Neodiprion lecontei: one gene and its partner. Each later gene encodes a partner of the first gene's protein in a complex. Links are inferred from orthologs where the notes say so. Each region holds a gene or a part of one and is shown in the gene's direction. Other genes may lie near its edges.

Region 1 (10,426 bases):
GTACAGATAGTATAGTTCCAGAAATAATAGAAGGAAAAGTTCTGCCGTAATGAGTTTGACAACTGATTAATAATCGCTTACTAAGATATTCTCCACAGAGAGAAAGGTGGCCAACTTCGATGTAATCATTCGAATAAGGAGACCACAGCTCAAACGATACTCTCAAACTTTCCCATGGCCTCAAATCTCTGGCTGGTCTAACTACGATTCGGTAATGATTGCAAAGGCTGTTGTATAACAGCTTTGCGGAGTCAAGGATCCTCTCAAACTCCTCCGCGTATTCACTGCTCTTCGAGTCTTTGACCATAGCAAAAACTTCTGCCACAGATGACTGACAAACTGTGAACATTCCAGCCTCCCGCAAACGGCTATTAAAAGGTACGTACTGCCTACCGCTGGCAAAATACCTCAGCGGAAAGTATTTCGGATTAATCAACTGCTTGGTATGCATTGCAAGGAAGGAAGGCAGACTGGCACCTCCGATAAGGTGCATGCGATTAACCGAATGTTTTTCGACTTCCTCATTATCTTGAAGGATGAACGAATCTTCGGGGCTCTCATGGTCCAGCCCAGTAGCTTCTACAATTATACTGCGAGCAAAATCCAAACCTGTGACCCGCATCGTGTTATCATGGACAAACTCATCGGCAGCTAATCGAAGTACGGCCAGTTCAAAGAGGGCTGCCTCGTTGTGCAGATAGTAATTCATAGGGCTTGAATACTCCAGCAATCCCAACCTCCTGCCAATATCAATGTGGCTACTCGAGCAACTTGAATTCTCACCGGGATTAAGGTTTCCGTAAGAATACAAAATAACCGGATCAAAAGCTGGCGTGTCTTTGTGCAGAACGTTGGGTAGTTTCAGAATTTTTGGAATCACGGAATCCTCAAGCTCCCACAGGATTTCCCTGACTACTTTCAAATCCTCCCTTAATACTTTGCCCACTGTTTTCAGTCGGGTAATTTCTTCATTGTCTACAGATTCGGCATTACTTGTGTTTAGACCTTTTATCTGACTAGCTGTGTCAATTCTCTTCTGCTCCAATGCATCCCGATTTGAAATGACACTTTTGTATAAATCCCATGAATTTTTCACACTTTCAGCATCGACATCAAGAGCGCGCAATTTCAACTCGTTTTTCAACTTATCCATGTCTGAAAATCGCTCGTCAAAGTCGAGATAGGGGGACAGAATCGCAAACGATTCGCTAGCCCTTTTGCCAGATACAAAGAGTGCCGAAACATAAGTGCGCACGTTAAGATTCAGTGACAAGCGTCCCAGAAAGAAGACATGTTTCATGCTCAACAGTCTTATACCAACATTCGCCATGTTGCAGAAAATGTTAAATTATCTGGACCTATATTTAGTGTGAACCTCTTTATTTAATGTCTACCTATGTTCTACGGTTTTCCCTTATGCCAGAGTGTTATCTTCGGTTCTTGTTATTTTTGTAGCTGGCGCCGCATCGACATCGTCATCGTCGACCTCAATTTTGTCCGCATCTTTCCCCGGCTGTGTCTCGATCTTTCGCTTCCTCGGCAGAACGTAATTTCCTTTACCAGCAGCTCTTTCAGAGTCTTCAATTGTGTACGGCTCCAGTTCTAAGGCCTTGAGTCTGCGCTTGTGAACTTTGGTGGTAAAGTGATCGAGGAGTGCCTTGTTGTCGATAAAGTACCTCCTGCAAAAGAGTAGTAATTAATTTCTACAATACTGAAAATCCTTCGGAAGATGAACCAGGATAGGTTAGATGAGGTTATGTCATGTTGAAAATACTAACGCGCAATGTAGGCAGTAGTGCTGAGCCGCACCCGGCTTGTCCAAATCCACTTCCTGGTTCAATAATGCGGGAGCATATTCATCCTTGATGTCCTCGTTGATCTGCAATTCAATCACGCGACATGTGAACCGTTAAATTAAGTGGTAAAAAATCGAAATCCAACCAAGAACGATGATAACAATAACCGGCCACGTGGTGGCGTGAGGCGCGCCGCGTGTATTCAGTTCGCAGAAAAAAAAACATCGAATCTCACCTCGTCAAGATCTTTCGTTCGTCGTTTAGTCCTCCATCCTTTTTTCAGATGTGTATCTCCCTTGTGATATTTTCTACGTTTGTAAGTCATCTTTCCGCTAACGTGTCAATAATTAAATAACGAACACAGAGGTTAACTTTTCTACGAGTGGTAAAATTCGATCGTCTTGTGTTTGATAAATCGTATCCCGTTGATACATGCTCGAGTTCGTCCGCGTTGGTCGACAATTGTTGCGATTATTTCTCCGTGCGATTGTAAAAGGCGCTCACGTTCGAAATGACGAAACAGTGTCGTTCCGTTATATTTTACAGAGAAACTTAACCTCGGGTTCCGGAGCAAGGCGTGGCGGGACGTACGAAAACAAGAACGGAGAAAATGTTCTAGACCGTTCGGTATTTGTGAAGAACGGTAAGAATTACAACGTTAATTAAGTTTTGAATAATAACGGCGTCCCGTAGTGGGATATTATAGAGGATACGATACGCGTATGTTAACGAATATGGGAAAACATAATATTTCTAAATTTTTGTTACTCGTTTTACGTAAAATGTGTGAAAAAGTCAGTCTACTCGAAAATACCGCTCGTAGTTTGTTTCACAATACCCGCAGGCAGGTATCTGGAATAAAGGAGAGTATCGATAGTTGGCGCAGCGTGGACAAGATGGAGACACAGGGCAATGCCGAACGGTACGCCCCTGGCGGTGAGACGATACGAAATTCAAACATCCGCTACTGGTGGAGAGCCTAAGCCTTACCATCCATCCATCCATTTTGAAAGTAAAAATATTCCATGACCGGGGATTTTGGTAAACGTACGTATCGTATAATCACCAAAGTACGCTGGTACCGTGGCTCGAGGGTGTATAAAATGAGTTAAATACAGGTGAGGGTCTCGCCGGCTACGGTTAGCAAGAGTGCGATTGAACCGTCGATCCTGATCTCGTAGGTGAATTCCGCGAGGCGAATCGAATGGATGCCAGTCGTAAGGGACGCCATTTTGATATACGGTCGGGTACGTCAGGCATCGGAGCCAGAAACGCGGTAAAGAAGGGTTCCCGTGCGCGCGTACATTTTCTGGCATCGCGAGGGGAGTTTTTTCGAGGATTACGCAGAGTTCGGTGCCGCGTACGAGGCGGCGGGACGGTGTACATAGTGCGTTAAGTGACAAGTGACAGGTGAATCGATGATTGCAAGTCCCGTAATCGCGGCTTGCTAGTGGCGTACTGCCAGTGGAGTGTCCGGTCTACGCGAACTCGCGTACGGTACTCGATAACGAGGCACCGACTACGAGGAGCGGAGCTCCCTTGGATCGCCAAGCGTTTTCCCGCTAGAGAGATTGGACTTTCTTGGTTAGCAAGCAGCAAGGGGCATCCTTGCTTGCGCCTCGCCTCGCCTCGCCTCGCCTCGTCTCGCCTCGCCTTGCCTCGCCGTACAGTCGCGTGTGTGGCTTGCGTATATCCCGCATCTCCGAACAGTTGCCACTGTGAGAATCCCGCGTGTGTGTTTTTGTTGCCCCGCGACCGGTTCCCGAGGGCTCGGGAGGACCTATCGCCTATCGTTCTTATTGTTCTTCGATCGGATAACGAGGAAAGAGGACAAATATTCGGCGATACTTGGCAATCTCTCTCTCTCTCTCTCTCTCTCTCCTTCGCTACTTCTCTCTCTGTCCCTCTGTGTGTCTGCATTTGCAACGCGGATTCTTCCCATCTCCTTATTCATACGTGTATACGTATACGTATACGCACTCGGACCTAACTTAACACACGACACGCACACATACATACACTCATATATATATATATACACACACATCCCTCCGGCTTTCCCCGGTTCTTTCTCTCTCCATCTCCCTTTTTCTCGCCCCTCGTCATCCTGTGTTCGCGATTTTAAAAAAGACAACGATATTCGGGTTCTTCCCAACGCCCGTAAAACTACAAGTCCGATGTTTGCCGCCGCGGCTCGAAATCATCTCAGGCCGAGACATCTAGCTGCGACGAGAACGTCGACGAGGGTACACCTGGAAGTAAGGAGAGTAATTGCGTCGGGGGTTATTGCAACCCTGGCGTAAATGCCCCCCCGCGGCACATGTGCTCGCGTAAACCTAGCGCGATCCTTAATTAATACGCCCACGCGCTCCTTAACATGGCCAAATTCCTCAACAAGGACCCTGTCACCTATCAGCGGGAGCGTGACGGGTTCATCAAGGGACTTCATCATTTTCACGAGACTCGCGGGTAAGAATCCACTCGTTCATTCATCGTTCGTTTCCCTCTCGCCTAATTCTCCTCCTCGCTCATTTATGTCATTCTTGTTTTTCTTTATTATTTATAGTCTGTAGTTAATTATCTTACGCAGTGCCGCTGATTATCTTCTTTAATTGGGCTTCCACTCACCGTTCAACCGAAATCCGTGAAATTTCATTTTATCAACCTGATCAGGCAAGAAACATCTAATACCGTCAGTAGATTCGGTACACCTATAACTGTACGGAATTTTTTTTATGGAAGCTTTCTGTTTACAATTCACACGTTATATTGTTAGTTTAATTATCACACCGTGCATTTTTGTTCACTGTGTAGATCTTAGCGTCTTCTTTGACACGCAAAAAAAAAAATACGCAACAATTAATATCGCGGTAATCTTTCTTTCCATCACATGACAAAGATTGTCCCTCCAGTTCCTTCAACCTCATTGTTGGTAGTATCCTCCAACACATCCTCGGAGTTTATCAAAAAGAAATTCTTTCAATTCACTTGTAATTAACATTTATGTATGAAAGTACTTTATTCATCACCTCTTATCATTCATCGTCGTAAATCTCAAGTAAAATATCTCATACCATATTCGGTTGCATTTATCCTAACCGCAGTTGTACTATACGGTTATATAAGTAGTACTATGGTTGTTTAAGATAAGTAACGAGGTTGTTCGGTTCCAAATCCCTTCTAACGACGAGGGACTCAATTTACACGAATTGAGCTGTTTCGTTTATATTTTCATTGAATAATTACCGTAATCAGCCAAGTTACCTAGGATTCTGCGTTTCTTAGTTTAATTCTTATTTGCTTACAGTCATAAAATACGACCCATTCATTATCTGATATTCAACATCAGCCGTCCACTCTTCTTGAATCTCCACTCGCAACAAGTGCAGACCACAAATCGATCCTCTTCCCCCAAATGGATCAATTTTTCCTTTCATTACCGTTATTCGTATAATGTATGATCTATCCACACCTTAGGCCTAAGCCTCACACCGAGTGAAGTCTGTTTCTTGAATCGAAAACGTTTGTTGGGTTCTTTCTCATTTTTTTTTTCTAGGAATTACTTTCGCAAATAAAGAAGAACACCGAGGGAAGTGAAAAAGAGCAGACTTGCTGCCTATACCGTCTCACGCGTCTCACTGATGTAATCGTACTCGGGATTTTTTCTGGCAACTTGCTGCTAATTTCGTTGCCGCGTGATCCTTGACATTCGCATTATTATACGTATCGGTAAAGTCCGCGAATCTATCTGGAACAACCCGCGTGTGTGATGTTGCGTTTAATTTTTAGCGAGTAATCGTTCTCTCCATGATTACTAACGTAAGTTTCATTTCTATGCCGTTCCTCGCACAGAGTACAGCAGCACATGTTCAACGTAATGTACGTATCTACGTAGGTGCGTACATACGCATGTAGTTTGTGCCCACTGCCCACATGTATCACAAACATCGTACAATACATGACGCGGTGTCGCGCAAAGTCTCGTCATCATCGTCGGGAGCAGCGAACGCGGTTGGAATACAAATAAGGAGGTTTTTTTTTTCTTTCTCTCCTCTCTTTTCTCTACCCATAAATTGACATAGTTTGTCATGTCGTGCAGGTGAAATCGGCTGCAACGCTATCCGTAAATTTGCACGTTACTTATTCCCGAAGCTCGCAACAGTGGAATCACCTTTCCAAATTCGTTGCTCAAAAAAGATGGCTACAGTTTTCTCACCGATTTTATTATACATTTCAGAACACCCTTCAGGAGGCCACCGAAAATCAGCGGGAACGAGATAGACTTGTACTTGTTATACGTGCTGGTTACCGCCCACGGAGGATGGATCAAGGTCAGTTCAATAACTCTTCAGCCTCTCTAACCACTTTAAACACTTTTCATACGAATAACGAATTTTCGGGTGTAGGCATAAATGCACAGTCGGAAAATTATAGCTCCAACACTGCAGGCTCCTCAAAAATTGAGTAACGGTATGAGAAACACCGTGAGAAAAGTTTTACTACCAATGGGAACTTGTGACGTGAGAACAGCGAAAAATTTGCTGTAGTTAAATTTTAGTTTTCGACGCTTTTGAACTCGCACGTGTGCGCAATTTCCGGTGAAAACGGTCCGTTCGATGTTGGTTGGACAAAATTGCAGGCAGTACGATATAAGCTGTAAGAGAAGAAGCGAGTGCTCGCTTTGACGACCGCGCGAATGATGAAGGGGGCGTCTTAAGACCCTCGAGAATCTTGAACAGAGTACTTTTTCTCTTTCCGCACCTTCCGCGCTTTTTCTTTTCTTCGTATTACCATTTTTTTTTTTCTGCCGTCTTCCTTTTCTCTTCTGCAATCTGCTGCCTGCGAGGAGTCAAACTTTCACGTCAAGCATTAGGTACACGTTTGTTATACGTATATTTACAACCCGCGCTCTCGGGAATACAGAATAATTAATTCATCATTGACGTAGGCGCAGTGTGAAAAGTAAATATCAAATAACAAAAAACGTGTGCATAAATGTTGTGGATCGAAATAAATATCGCGTCAACTACTCTGCGGTATAACGATGACGCTGATAATGAAGTCCGTTCAAGGTTCTCTCTCGGTTTCAAATGTGTGAAATGATAATGAGGAATGTGAGGTTTTCAACTTGCAACAATAATGTGACAAGCGGGGCTTTCGTCGGTCCATTCATTGACCGCGCAGTGGAGATAAAACCTCGTAAAGCGGGAGAAAAGTAAAGTATATAAACAAACGTGCAGACGATGCGCGTCTGAAAACGATGCCGGGGTAATTGCTCCGAATTTAAAACGAACTAACCGACGATAATCCTCAATGCTGTAATAACGAAAACGGCTATAAATTATTGGAAAATTGTTTTTCCAATTATCGTAATTACGAGAAGCAAATGACTGTTACGTTATGTTAGAAGAACGATAAAGAAAAAAGAAAGAGAATAACTTTTCCTTAGGCAAAAATTATTATACGCTCGGAAAAACACTTTCTTCCCGAGTCGAGCATGCGACTCGTACTTCCTGCCAGTTTCAGTTCGTGTAACGAACCACAGCATCAACTACGTCTATATATTATACAATAGAATATGCGCTATGTGGGTACAATAAAATCCTCAACCGAACCAGAATGGACTTTTACAAAAAATCGGATTACGCACAATGTATCGTTTAACGTTTCCACGCGGTATATCGGCATACGCACATTTACTTATTAACTGCTTGCGTGGTGAAAAAAAAAGTCGCAACTACACTTTCCTTTTCTACTTTTTCGTCTTACAGGTACTTCCGGGGTGTATTATGTTTCACATTTTTAATACATCATCAAATCAACAACCCGTTGAAAGAAAAACCACCTCCGTACAATAATATCCGGCGGTCCGTCGTATACTGAACGCATACTTGGAAAAGCATAAAATTCTCGCACATTATCGCATCGCGGTGAGACTTCCCGATACGTATGCATGGTACATACATACATACATACATCACCTTTCGCTCCCCCTCCCCCGCCCTCGAAGTGCACGACGGTTCCTTGAACTTGCCGCGCTGCTTCCGGCGAGGCGCCGAGAGGCGCGAAGAAGAGAGGCGCGGAGAGGAGAGGAGAGGAGAGGAGAGGAGAGGAGAGGAGAGGAGAGGAGAGGAGAGGAGAGGAGAGGAGAGGAGAGGAGAGGAGAGGACCAGGTCCGCGTGGCGAGTTCCGCGAGTGAACTTCGCGCGTCAATCGGAACCTCCGCGCAACCACCGTCGCCTCTGGTGTCCCGATGCGACATGCAGCAGCACTCGGTCGTCGAATGTCGTCCGCCGGCCGGCCGGCAGCCTTCCTGACGTAATACGACACACCGAAGAGTCACCATCGAACTCTCTTCTACTCTGCTCGCTCCCTACCCTCCCCTACCCGCCCCTTATACCCTCGATATTCGGCGCCTGGTCGCGTGGCGAGTTGACACTCGGCGAAAGGTGCCGGCAGGAGGAGGAGGAATAGGAATAGGAATGAGAGTCCACGCGGTGAAACGCGATAAATGGCACAGAACGGAATTAACGGAGAAGCAACGCTCACGGAACTGAGGCGGCAGAGACCCCCCGAGGGTTACTAACCCTGCGACGACGGTGTCGTACACGCGTGCCTCACGTGTCACAAGTATATCTACGTATGGCATTCTTCTTTACCGGCGGGCGTGCAAAGAAGACAGTAGCCTCGTACACACGGATTAGCCCTGTCGTTTTTTTTTCTCTCTTTTTTCCCTTTTTTTTTATCCTGTCGAAGAAACTACCGTACGGGTACCACGATCGACTCTCTTTCTCTCCCTCTCCCTCTCTTTCTTGTTTCTGTCACAGTTCACCGCGTAACGTGCGAACATATTGTATCCGTACGCAATGTACAGACATGCGTTATTGTTACGTCGGAAACGCTGCATGGGAGAAATCCACCGAACCAAATTGAAACCTTCCAGCCGTCGGGGAAAATGCAGATTGTTTATGCAAGTATCGTGAATCAGTAGCAGCGGTCAGCTAACTTTTCTTGTTGCATTGACGGCGTATCACCGACCCTGTACAGAGATAAACCGCCCACACGTGTGTTGTTGATATTCTTGTTGTATCCTGCGCCGTCCCAAGGACACCGTTACAAGAAGCAAACTTCCGTTCCTGCTCGCCTAGCCTGTGCGAAATACACGATAATTTCTTTTTGTTTCTCTACGTTTTTTCCATTTCCGGGATCGCCGATGGCGGCCGGTAGGAGGAGGAGGACAAGGAGAAGGAAGAGGTGGAGGTGGAGGAGCAGACCTACTAAAACATTATTAACGTAAGGATAACGCGGAAGTGGCGCAAGGTCAGGGTCGCGTTGCGCGGACGCGGGGTAGGGGGGCATAGATCAGCGGTGGTGAAGAAGAGGAAGGGATGTAGAGGAGTAGACGGTGGCCGACGGTAGCCGAAGGCTTTAACCGTCAACAAGTGTGCGTCGCGGCGCCTAGTATTCTTCTCTTGGTTATTAACCGAAGAAGGGAAGTCACTTTCCCGGATCTTTTTTTCTTATCGTGCACCACCTCGCTCGATTTTTCTTCAATTCTTTTTTTTTTCTCCTTTTTTTTACTCTTCATCTCGCCCTAAACGTGTTCCGTCGCAGCAAGGGGAATAATAATCTCGTCTAAACTCGTCGTGCAAAATTCGCCCTCTCTTATTCGTCTCCCCGCAAATACCTGATGCGAATTTTACGACTTCTTTCTGTCCGGTATATGGTACCCGAATATAACGTGTATTATTATTCCGTGTTATGGAAGTTGGTCCCCTCGCAACGATCGACGGACCGGGTCGTTCATTCTTTTTGTTCATCTTCTTGCCACTCAACCGCATATTACACCCATCTTTTTCTTCATCGCCGTAACGCCGGAATACCCTTGGAATATCATTAGTCTACCTTTTCGTTGAGAGTAATAACAATCATAATCATGGTGCAGAATTATAAATCTAAAAGCGAGAAACTCTGTTATTATTCCGGAAATAAAGTGTACGGAGTAAGATATATAGAACATGGATAGATCGCGTTTATTCGTGTATATTATGTTGCACAATAAATTCACAGGGGTTAAACGGCAGTGGCAAATGAAGACGAATGAAAATAAAAAACTAATACTAGTAGTAGTAGTAGTAGTAGTAATGATGATAATAATAATAATAATAATAATAATAATAATAATAATAATAATTTCTTAAAAAGAGAAAGAGGGAAGTGCAAAGCCAAAGTCTGTGGGTACGCACAGGCATGCGGGTTCGACTCGTATCCCTAGACACGCGGTTTGTCGGTCGTTAAAGCGGGGATCGGAGGTATACAACACCGAGCAAACGAAGGAAAGATCGAACGGGTAGCGAGGAGGCGACGTTTCGTGGCGGGGGTCGCCTCGCCGGCAGACGCAAGCAGCGGTCGATACGGCAACGCCGCGCCCCGGCGTCGCATACCGGACGAAGAGGCGGGCGACGCGCAGCGCTCGACTCCTCGAGCAAGCCGTCGGTGAAGTGAGCCGAGGCCGCGCGGACGCGCCGGAAGATTTCGACCCGGCAACACCGCCGACGGCGGCGCGGTTTCTCGGGGAGCGAAGAGAAGCCGACCCGACGGTAGCGAGCCGCCTGCTTGCCCGACTCCGC
Region 2 (10,777 bases), about 16 Mb from region 1:
TTTGACAAAGATATTTCCTCGAGACATAACTGTACATGCCGGGCTGTGTCCCACTTTGATATTCTATAGCATAGGGAGTTGGAACCTGTTTGAAACTTCCAGTTCCTACTACATACATCGTCAGTGGCTACAAGAAGACTCGTATACAGCAGAGAATGTGTGGACTTTGCAAGCAGCTGAGCCATTGCGAAACGACGCAAAACTTGGATCTACGTGTATGCTTTTCGCATATAAAATGGTTGTAAATATATTTGGTCAGAGCAATAAGAGTAAATGTTTTTATAAATACATTCAGAAACAAAAAATATACGATGGTAATAAATTCACCCAAAACTTGAGTATTCTTGTTTCTCATAGTTGAATATTACCCTTGTTTTTTTTATACATGTTGTGACAACTGATCAAACTCAGTTAGGAATTTAGGTCATAGTTTTGTTTTCCTCCATTTGGGATAAGTGATTAACCGTTTGTAATTACGAGCACAATCAATGTTGGAAAAATATCTATCGGTATACAGAAACATACTTGTTCCAATACAACACAGCTGCATTGATCAAAAACTCGTTTCAAGCCTGAAAAGTATTTGATCACTTTCACCTTTCACGTATCTGACTAACGCCAACTAACGCTCGTGGTAGAACAGTTGCTTACACAGCATGTAATAAGATATTAAAAAACGTTGCAAGTGGTGCCGTAATTTTTGATTCGTACATTCACGGTTAATGTGTTTGTTTCACAGTAAATTTTACTGGTAATTCAGCTTAGATCAGTCGTATCCACATTTCCGCGATCCTTCTTCTCTTTGTGGCTATGCATCCAGCATGTGGCCACAATTCCGTGGTTTTTATTCGTCATATGGCATTTTCAGTCGTCAGTCTGCGTAATGAATTTATTCCTGGGAATAATCTGCAGGAAACAGCAAATGAGTAAGAGATAGAGACAGAGAGAGAGAGAGAGCGAGAGAGAGAGAGACTGGGTAATGCGTAAGACTGACAATGAGAAGGAAGCAACGATTAGTTCCGGCTAGTGTCAGCTGGAAGGGGAAAAAGTAAGTTGATAGAACTGTGACATGACGTCCCAACGCCGTTCTGCGTAGGTTTCCATGATTCTATCTGGAGTCTGAATGGGGAAAACCCAAATGAGTGTAGAGCGTACGGCGCATATTGATTGCTCAAACGTATTTTGGGAAAGATAGGAACTCAGTAGATTAATCGGTTTTCAATGTTACTTCAAACTTTATTGGGCCCGATTAATTTCATGGAATAATATTTGGGTACTGAAAAGCGGTAGAAAAAACTGAGTGTAGATCTTAATCGGTTTGAGTAATTTCTTTTAACCTGCAGAAGTGTTTCTTGGTGAGATCTAGATTGTAAATATTGATGGGCTCTATAACAAACTGTTGACTGAATATACTCTTCAGTCAACGAACGAACAATGCTACATATTGCACACAGCATTATCATTCCATTCACTGACGTCATACACGCGGGGACAATTAGTTTAAAAATCAGACTGGTCAGTAGTATGTAAGACCGTGGTAGCAACCTACCACCAGTAACTGTTATAGCGACTGTTGCTTATCATATATTCGGAATACTGATATCTTACTTTTTTTTTTAATATTCACTGATATCAGAGTGTCAAATAATGATTTCAAACGAATGGCACACGGGAAATGTGGTGAAATGATCTTCGGTAAGAATATTCGACCAATCCCTTCACGGATCCCTTCACAGCTCCATTTTCTCAATAATTCCTACCTCCTAGCCAATAGCCGAAGCCATTTCATCGACGCGCTGAAGCAGTCGTTTCGTAATTGGCTGGTACCAAATTAGAGTGCACGGTGCAGTTTCATTCGCGATGGAGAATGATTAGTTGTAAAAGGCACTGGGTTGATATTTAACGAATAAATAATAAAACGTTAGATCAACGATTCAAACTTAAATCATTACAAGTTTATCTGAGAATTTATTTGCTGTTTACGGAACGAAGATTTTAATGCGCACGCGCTCTCTACGGTGAATTCCACCATACACAACCCAAGTCTTCTGGACAACACGTAATTGTAAATTTTTTGTTGGATTCGATTTGTACCAGAGAACAAAATTAATTCGCGTAGTACTGGACGTTTCATGAAAAGACTGAATACATTATTTGTACATATTAATTTTGCTAACTAAATTTGATTACAGCCATTTAATGAAATAACTAACCATAGGTGCTTGACAGATTACCCAAGAAGTAAAAAAAAGCATTTTTACGAACAACAATGGAATGTTATTATATTACATTTCATTTAGATTTGTAACTACGTTTAAGGTTAGCAACATTTCAAACTTTCCAGTGCGTATCTAATCCTACCTACATGTGACTCCATAATGTTGCAAGCTACAGAATGCTTCAAATGAATTTTATATTAATGTACTCTTGCAAAGGATAGAATTATATTATTACATTCAACTGAAAACTCCAAAGTTCTTTTAGAATATGTATGCTTTATTTTTGCAGAATCCTCACCTCTTCTAGAAAGTAAAGTGTTAGAATGGCTCAAAGATCACCAATTAAGAATCCGCCGAGTACTAAGGCACTGCAATTTCATCAAGTAGAAAAACAGGAAAGCCAGCACTCTGAATCACCGTCACCCAATCAAAGGGTACTCATTTTGTCAACCCCTGTCACGCTGAAAGATGGTACTGTGAATATGAAGCAACGAACGATACCGCTTAGAGTTGATAACAGTCAGCTTATGATAAAGGCTGGAGAAAACAAAAGCAGAGTTGTTTCATTGAAGCGAAATCACGAAGCAGTGCCGCTGGCTTTGCCAATAAATCAGCTGAACCAAAAAACACCAACTTTTGTAAAGAACGAAGTTGGTCAAGTGATGGGCAAGCTTATTCCGCTTGGAAAATTTTCTAACATTAGTCCAAATACATTGAGTCCTGCCAATCCTACTCCTGCTTCTGCTTCTACTTCACCGATTGTTTCAGATATTGGTGTTAAAAATTTAAGAAATGAAATGTCCAAGCAAAATACGAAGTCAAAGGGGTACAAATTGGTTAAACTAGATGAAAAGGTAATTGGAGCAAACGCTGCTGCAGCTGAGAAATTTGAGGAAATTTTGAAATCAAAACAAAAAACAAATACTAGCTCTACATGTCAGGTGGCTACTAAACATACTGCGACAGCTTCACCAACGGTAGTTACACGAGTGAAAAATGCTGAAGATCAATTGATAACCATAACAGATGATAAGCCAAAGAAACAAGTCCACTTGGTCCTGAAAGGATATGAAAATATTGCCAGTATTGGTCAAACTGGAACCAATATTAAACTAATTCCGTTAGAACAATGGGGAATGGATACAAAGCTGAATTTTTTGAAAACTCAGTCAAGAAGCTCATTTATTTCGCAGCCAAAAATAGTGGATGTGAGAAGTTGTGCTATAGATGAAATAGACGGACTAGGTGACTCACATTTTGATGACAGTAAGTTGAATCATCACTATGACAAAGGGGACTTTGATAGCGATGACGTATTGGAAAAAGATCCGTTGGACATTGAAGGTTTGAGCAAAGAGACCAGTTCATTTCATTATTTGTTAGATAAAAATGCGGAAGAAGATGATAATGACTTGCCGAATGCACTGGAAACGAAAAAACTTAACACAATAGATGTAATTGATTTCGAATGTAACACCTCGGCAATGGGGGGTTTGAGTGATGTCCAAATTACTACTTTGGTGAAAAATAAAAATACGAGCAGCTTCAAATTAGATAATCAACTAAATCCCGAAAGTAATTATTGTCCAAAGAAAAGCAGTGATCTTTTGGAAGATTCAACCAATTGTTCAGCATCGAGTAATATAATAGCTGTGAAGGGCACAAAGGAACATAATCCTGTTATTGATGGTTTGACTGAAAAGAGTAGTAAAGACGACATACGATTTGAACAAAAGTATGCCGATTATGAAAATCTGTGTAAACAATTTCGAATTAATCAACATAACGTTACGTCCAGAGAAACAGAAATGTTGTCCTATATCCACAACCTAAAGAAAAAGCTTTTTCGATTTCAGAAGAATAGATATCAAACATTGGCCGCTATCGAGCAAAGAGAATATCTTGGTATCAGTAATCTATCGACTATTCAAAAGCGATTTATAGAAACACAATTGAGGAATTCTAACAAGACGTCTAAAAAACCAAGGTTTACTAAAACAGATATAGTTATGGCTAGGGATATACTTAAGGCAACTGGTCCGAGGGGTTACAATAATTTGAGAAAACTTTTCTCCCTTCCTGGCATAAGCATTATTGTTAAAGGAATTTCTAAAACTTAAAGACAAGTTGAGTTTGCGAAATTATTTGGGATACAATGAGAGCTAAACCCCAGAAATGTTGGTAAAAAAAGCCTGATTGTAAACAGTAAAAGATTTTATCCAGAGGGATAATCCGAGATCAAGATGTTTTAGAGACTGAATTACCACTGAAGAGTAACTAATGTAATTCTAATTTCAAAATTACACTATATTTTAATTATTTAATTACGTTCTGTGACCTCAAAGTGTTCAAAACTGTGACAGTTATGAAATTACACAGTCTAATTATTCTATAATCACTTGATTTAAAACTGCAACTGAAAAGTCTTTTACGGTTTGAACGTTGGACTTTGTAATATTATCAATTCCATAATTATGGCATTGTACTTTTTAATTTTATTCAACACGTTTGTTAGCTAAATATGAACCAATTAGAAGGCCATGAGTATTTTTTACGTGCAATAATTGACCGTTAAATTAGTTTAGTTGTATGTATATGACATGCATGAAAATTGTATAAATGTAACTATGCAAGGAGTATAATTTGCGTTTAGAGAAATTGTTATGTATACTCATAATAATGAATAAAATCCGTATCATATCGATATTCTCGAGTATCACCTATACATGAGTGTAGTCTTAACTCAGTTGCAATTGAAAAGTTGAAGAGCTCAAATAAATGCACAAATTACACTCTGGAATTTTTTCTGAGTGACTGAATATTTTTTCAATCACCATCCTTCATCATGACACTTAATACAGCTGTAAATTGAAACAGACACCTATTTGTAAAAACATTAATCTACAACTTGAAATTAATGTATCCACAAATTTTTAGAATCTCAGCTAATGGTATTGAATTATACAAATAAAAGTTGAAATTTTAATGGTACGTACATACATCTCATTGAATTTACTTGGCATCAACTTATTTTGATACTCAATTGAAAATGAATAAACAATCAATCTTTTAGTGGAATTCAGGAATTTATAATTTCAGAACTGAAAGCTGTCATCATATGTAATTCAACTGCATGTTGGCGCGAAACTTTACACTTGTTATTTTTGTCCAATTTTCAACACTAGTTAGTTAACGAAGCACTGGCCCACATCACTGGCTAGACTCTACAGAAACCCAGAATCAGAACCACGGACGTGGAAATAGTGAAATGATGTAGTTATTAGCTTGGTTATTCAATGATACCAGTAACTTGTTATTCAATTTTTTTAATCTACGAATTCCCGTTACGGTGGTTCTATTCAGTTTCATACAGTCTGGCCGCAACTTTCGTGATGTAGCACACAACGTAATATGGCCGCTACCTCGGTTTTACTACTGAAATGTATTATAAATATTTCAGTGGGTTTCCTCTCACGTCTCTAGCAGCTCGACAAATCTATCCCGTGGATGTGAGCTTGGATAGGAAATCTTGATTCTGATCAGGAAGTAGATATTGCGGCAGGCATGGTGGTCACCTCTCTATTTGTATACCTTGTAAACTCAGGCAAGTAACGTTACTTAAAGTTGCATTAGATTTACTTCCACATGCAATTAAGTTATAAATCAATACTTCAGGATCCGGTAAGTGTAGAGCGATAAATTCAGCTTGATTTTGTTATTTTTTTAATCCATTAATTCGACTAGCTTTGGATCACATTCCTGCATCTAATGTAAGATGCATAGTGTACATGGTCTACTGTATTTAACATGGCGTCATGCGGCGTAAAAATAAACAATATTTCTTTACGATTTTCAGGCTCACAACGATGAATAAACGCCGTCGAACTTCGTCCGTTGCAAGTCGTGGTACTGAGGATGATCCCGACGACGTACAACCGGAACCAACGAAACGACGACGAAAATTAGATCCGGTAACATTGCCCTGTCATTTTCTGATATTACGGACGCAATCTATAAACAATAACTTATTGATTCAATTCATACTAATATAATAGAATGGGAAAAAAATTACAATGGTCGGCAGATTGTTGTAGATATGGCTCTGAAGATATACTTAAAATAATTTCAAATTCGGAGACCTTGTAAATGCAAGTTGATCCATCTGCGAAAGACAAATGAAATGACAGAAATATCTTTGTGAAACTTTCACACAGACATACTTGCAACTTGGTAGAAATATTGCTTCCCTTTATAGTAATTATATCATCGAATTTAGCTGTATTCATTCAACACTTTCCATTAATATCTTGCTTCTTGTAAAGTTGGATTCCAGTTTGAATATGCGATGCCGTTGTATTATAGGTTGGATTAGCCAAATTTCAATTAGAGATTTATCATTGCAGAGTGATCTTTGCCAGCAGCTCTATGATGTTCTTCGTAATCAAAAAAGAGAAGATGGAACACTGTTGTGTGATGCTTTTATTCGCGTACCAAAACGCAGACAGGAACCTGGTTATTACGAAGTTGTTACAAATCCAATTGATTTGTTGAAAGTTCAGCAAAAGCTCAAAACCGATGAATATCGAGATATGGATGATTTGGCAGCTGACATTCAACTTATGGTTAATAACGCTAAAGCTTTTTACATGGTATGTATTTTTTCCAAATCAACAACTCGTAATTGAATTTGATGGTTAAAAGCAATGAATTAGAACAAAGATTGATTTATTACCTAGAGCTAAGCAATCGATTTACATTTTGATTGCCCGTAAGGTAAAACTGCTCATAGTTACAGTTTATCCTGTTTATTGATATACATATAATAATGCGGTAACTTTTGACATTTTGTCTAGCGGACTTCTCCAGAGTACAAAGATGCAACGGAATTGTGGGAATTATGTCTGAATACTAAAAATCGGATAATGGAAGAATATGAGGATTCTGAACCAAAGGGGAAAATAATTCTTAAGGTTGGCAGACTGGTAAGATAATGCAAAAAACACGTGAGTTATATATACAAGAAGCTTAATATTAATATGTCCTTTATCAGGCACGGAAAGTAACAACTCGTCAGGATGACGCTGAGGACACTTCTGAAAGCTCTACCAACCCTGATGAAGAGTCTATGCAACCATACGAGGATTTGTTTGCTGCGGTCATGGCTGCAACAAATCCACAAGACAATAACAGACCACTACATATTCCATTTCAATTGAAACCTTCCAAGAAAGTTTGTATTTTCACTGAACAATCCAATTTTGTTGTTACAAATTTTATGTCTATTTGAATTTTTCATTTTCTTGTATAGTCAACGAATGTGGTTGCAATATGAGAATTGTGATGTTCCATTACGCGCCAGGAAAATTGCAATAGAAATACACATTTTACTGCTTCACAAATTACCTGAAATTGAATAGTGTGAAATTTAATTTGCAGCTGTACCCTGAGTATTATGAGATAATTGAGAATCCAGTGGATTTGAAGACAATCGCACGCCGGATTCAAGAAGGAGCGTATGCTGGACTGATTGAAATGGAAAGAGATCTCATGCTCATGTGTCGCAATGCTTGTCAGTTTAATGAACCAGGTTCTCAAATATACAAGGATGCTAAAATGTTGAAAAAGATAATCGTTTCTGCAGCTAAAAAACAGGAATCTAGCGCTACTGGTATGGTACCGAAGCTCACTTCTACTGCAACTTCTACTAGAAGTAAAAGAGGAAGAAGTGCTGGCCAGTCCCTTGTAGCAGTGACTGCTGCACTTGCAGATGAAGATGAAGATGAAAGTGATGACGAAGAGGAGGAAGCTAATGACGGAGAAGAGTCTGACAATCCACAGTGGCAGTTATTTCAGACCATAAAAACTGCCCCAAACAGTCAAGGTGTGTTTCGTTTTGTTTCAATAAAGGTAGAATATCTTCAACAATTAACCTCGAGTTGTGAATATAGGTTTCTTGATTGAAAATCTTTTGCTAGTAAATTAACTTATTTATGTATGTGATATTCATTTATATGAGTGAAAGTGGTGAATTAGACAATATTTTATTTTGGATCTACAGGCGTCCGGATGAGTGAATACTATTGGAAATTACCATCTAAACGATTATATCCTGATTATTACAAAGCAATAAAAAATCCAATATCACTATATCAAATACGGACTAAAATAAAGGTGAGATACAAAAACCCATGTAAAAGGAACATTTCTTACAATTCCAATGCATGTATCGACTGACGATTTGATATGCAAAAACATCAATAAATGAGCTGACACATATTAGTTTGTTCAACTTACATACATATATGGATTTCTTTCATAGAAGGGGGAATATGGCACTGTCAGTGAGGTTGCAGGTGATATGAATATCATGTTTGAAAATGCTAAAAAGTATAACGTCCATACGTCTCGTTTGTATAAGGTAAATTTGCATTGCAGAAATCTATTTGATTGAAATAAGCAGGAAATAAAATTATATGTTTTCATAGTGTGCCGCCAAGTTACAGAAAATTATGCAAGAGAAGGTACAGGAACTTCTTGAATTTGATCAGGTAAAAATTAACTTTTTTTCTTGTGATTAAACCATATTTTTTAAATCAGTCGTAAGTTGATAGTTGGCCAAATTGAAAAAGATGATTTAATCTGTTTTCAAATTTATATTTTTTAATTTCTATCTCATCTATGAAATAGATCTAGTTAACCTGATATAATTTAAACCAATTCTTCTAGGATTCAGAATCAGACAGTGATTCAGAGAATAACTTGCAGCAACCCAAACTGATTAAGCGTGCATCAAATGTTTTGACTCGGGGAAAATATAAGGACAATGTGCCATTAAAAAAGAGACTGCATGTTCTTGTAAAGTGTGTGATGGAATACGTTGTAAGTAATTCCAATTTCTCGTGTTCATATTTCTGACAATTAATGTAATACATGATTGGTGAAATTTCAGTGTGAAGATGGTAGGCAGCCTATGCTTATGTTTATGGAAAAACCATCAAAAAAATTATATCCAGATTATTATCAAATTATTCAGGAGCCCATTGATATGTTGGGTATTGAAGCAAATATCAAGGCTGAAAAGTATCAGAATGAAAACGAATTAATTGCGGATTTCAAGGTGAGCAATACGCTATTTACACGTTGTATTAGCAGTTACTTTCGTTTCACGTAAATATTCAAAGTAAAATTTTTAATGAGTAAGAATTTCTTCTCTGCATGCACGATGTAAGGAGACTGTAGTGTGTAGATGTTATGTTTACCCTTTTTTTGAATCCTTTGCTTCCGATGAGAAGCCCGTAAGACGGCAATGCCGTCTAATAAATGAGATGCGGTCTAGCATCGCTAGATACCAGGTTCGATTCCTGGCTCCGTCGTTAATTTTTCAAATTCACCAGTTGTTCAAATTTACATATTTTCAACAAAATTCTCTCGTAGATTAATGATTTGCACACCCGCATCTCATTTGTTAGACGGCATTGCCGTCTTACGGGCTTCTCATCGGAAGCAAAGGATTCAAAAAAAGGGTAAACATAACATCTACACACTACAGTCTCCTTACATCGTGCATGCAGAGAAGAAATTCTTACTCATACAAATCGGGCACATGAAAACAAATTTGAACTCACTGGTTATGAGAGAAATTAATGACAACAGAGTCAGGGCGGCTAGGTGGTCTAGTGGAGTAAGTCTCCGGTAAAGCATCGCTAGATACCAGGTTCGATTCCTGGCTCCGTCGTTAATTTTTCAAATTCACCAGTTCAAATTTACATATTTTCAATAAAATTTTTAATACTTACAACATGCGAGAGCTCATTAACGATATTTATAGTTGATGTTTAATAATTGCCGCCAATATAATGAAGAAGGGTCTCTTATATATGAAGATGCAAATGTATTGGAAAAGGTTTTGATGGATAAAGTAAAAGAGCTGGGACCCTTACCAGAATTGGTTAAACCAGTGAAATCTGCAGCATCTACACCGACAAGGAATGTAGGGTGAGTAGCTTTGGAAATTTTGTACTATAACAGGTCACACCAATGAATTTACTACTTATTATCATACCTAATGATTTTATTGTATGGTGGAATCCTTTTCCAAAGTTGAAAATATTTCTTGGGTTTTTATAGAAGGCCAAAGAAAGTTGTACCGTTGCATGTGCAAAAATTACGAACAATGTACGATACAATAAAAGACTATCACGATGCTAAGGGCAGACAGTTGTCCCAAATATTCATGAAACTTCCAAATAAAAATGAGTATCCTGATTACTATGAAGTTATCAAACAACCAATGAACATGGAAAAGATTGCCTCATCTTTAAAAAATAATGGATATGATAATCTGGATGACTTAGTATCAGATTTCATTCTCATGTTTGACAATGCTTGCAAGTATAATGAACCGGACTCTCAGATTTACAAGGTTTGAGCATTTTGTATCTGTTATTATATTCTTATTTTTCATATTCAATTTTCCTTTGTTAACTAAATCACTTATGGTACAGGATGCACTGATTCTACAGCGATTAGTGCTCCAAACTAAAGTACAGCTGAGTGAA

What was found. The genes of interacting proteins can lie anywhere in the genome.
Region 2: AT-rich interactive domain-containing protein 2 (region 1) and protein polybromo-1 share a complex: the UniProt entries of both Homo sapiens proteins name them as parts of the SWI/SNF-B (PBAF) chromatin remodeling complex. The link is inferred for Neodiprion lecontei from reciprocal best matches to the Homo sapiens genes ARID2 and PBRM1.

What each region holds. Positions count from the first base shown.
Region 1 is NC_060265.1:5,612,391-5,622,816, reverse strand, and holds the start of AT-rich interactive domain-containing protein 2, read left to right. Parts: upstream 1-2,782; 5' UTR 2,783-4,173; coding exon 4,174-4,265; intron 4,266-6,033; coding exon 6,034-6,127; intron 6,128-10,426. Other genes in the region: serine--tRNA synthetase-like protein Slimp, read right to left, coding at 1-1,330; zinc finger protein 593 homolog, read right to left, coding at 1,415-1,679, 1,779-1,879, 2,032-2,121. UniProt on the Homo sapiens protein: Involved in transcriptional activation and repression of select genes by chromatin remodeling (alteration of DNA-nucleosome topology). Required for the stability of the SWI/SNF chromatin remodeling complex SWI/SNF-B (PBAF).
Region 2 is NC_060265.1:21,309,955-21,320,731, forward strand, and holds the start of protein polybromo-1, read left to right. Parts: upstream 1-5,708; 5' UTR 5,709-5,823; intron 5,824-6,075; 5' UTR 6,076-6,085; coding exon 6,086-6,190; intron 6,191-6,622; coding exon 6,623-6,868; intron 6,869-7,072; coding exon 7,073-7,201; intron 7,202-7,269; coding exon 7,270-7,449; intron 7,450-7,655; coding exon 7,656-8,100; intron 8,101-8,277; coding exon 8,278-8,390; intron 8,391-8,538; coding exon 8,539-8,637; intron 8,638-8,704; coding exon 8,705-8,767; intron 8,768-8,945; coding exon 8,946-9,098; intron 9,099-9,168; coding exon 9,169-9,336; intron 9,337-10,047; coding exon 10,048-10,214; intron 10,215-10,346; coding exon 10,347-10,641; intron 10,642-10,723; coding exon 10,724-10,777. Other genes in the region: uncharacterized protein LOC124295063, read left to right, coding at 2,543-4,339. UniProt on the Homo sapiens protein: Involved in transcriptional activation and repression of select genes by chromatin remodeling (alteration of DNA-nucleosome topology). Required for the stability of the SWI/SNF chromatin remodeling complex SWI/SNF-B (PBAF).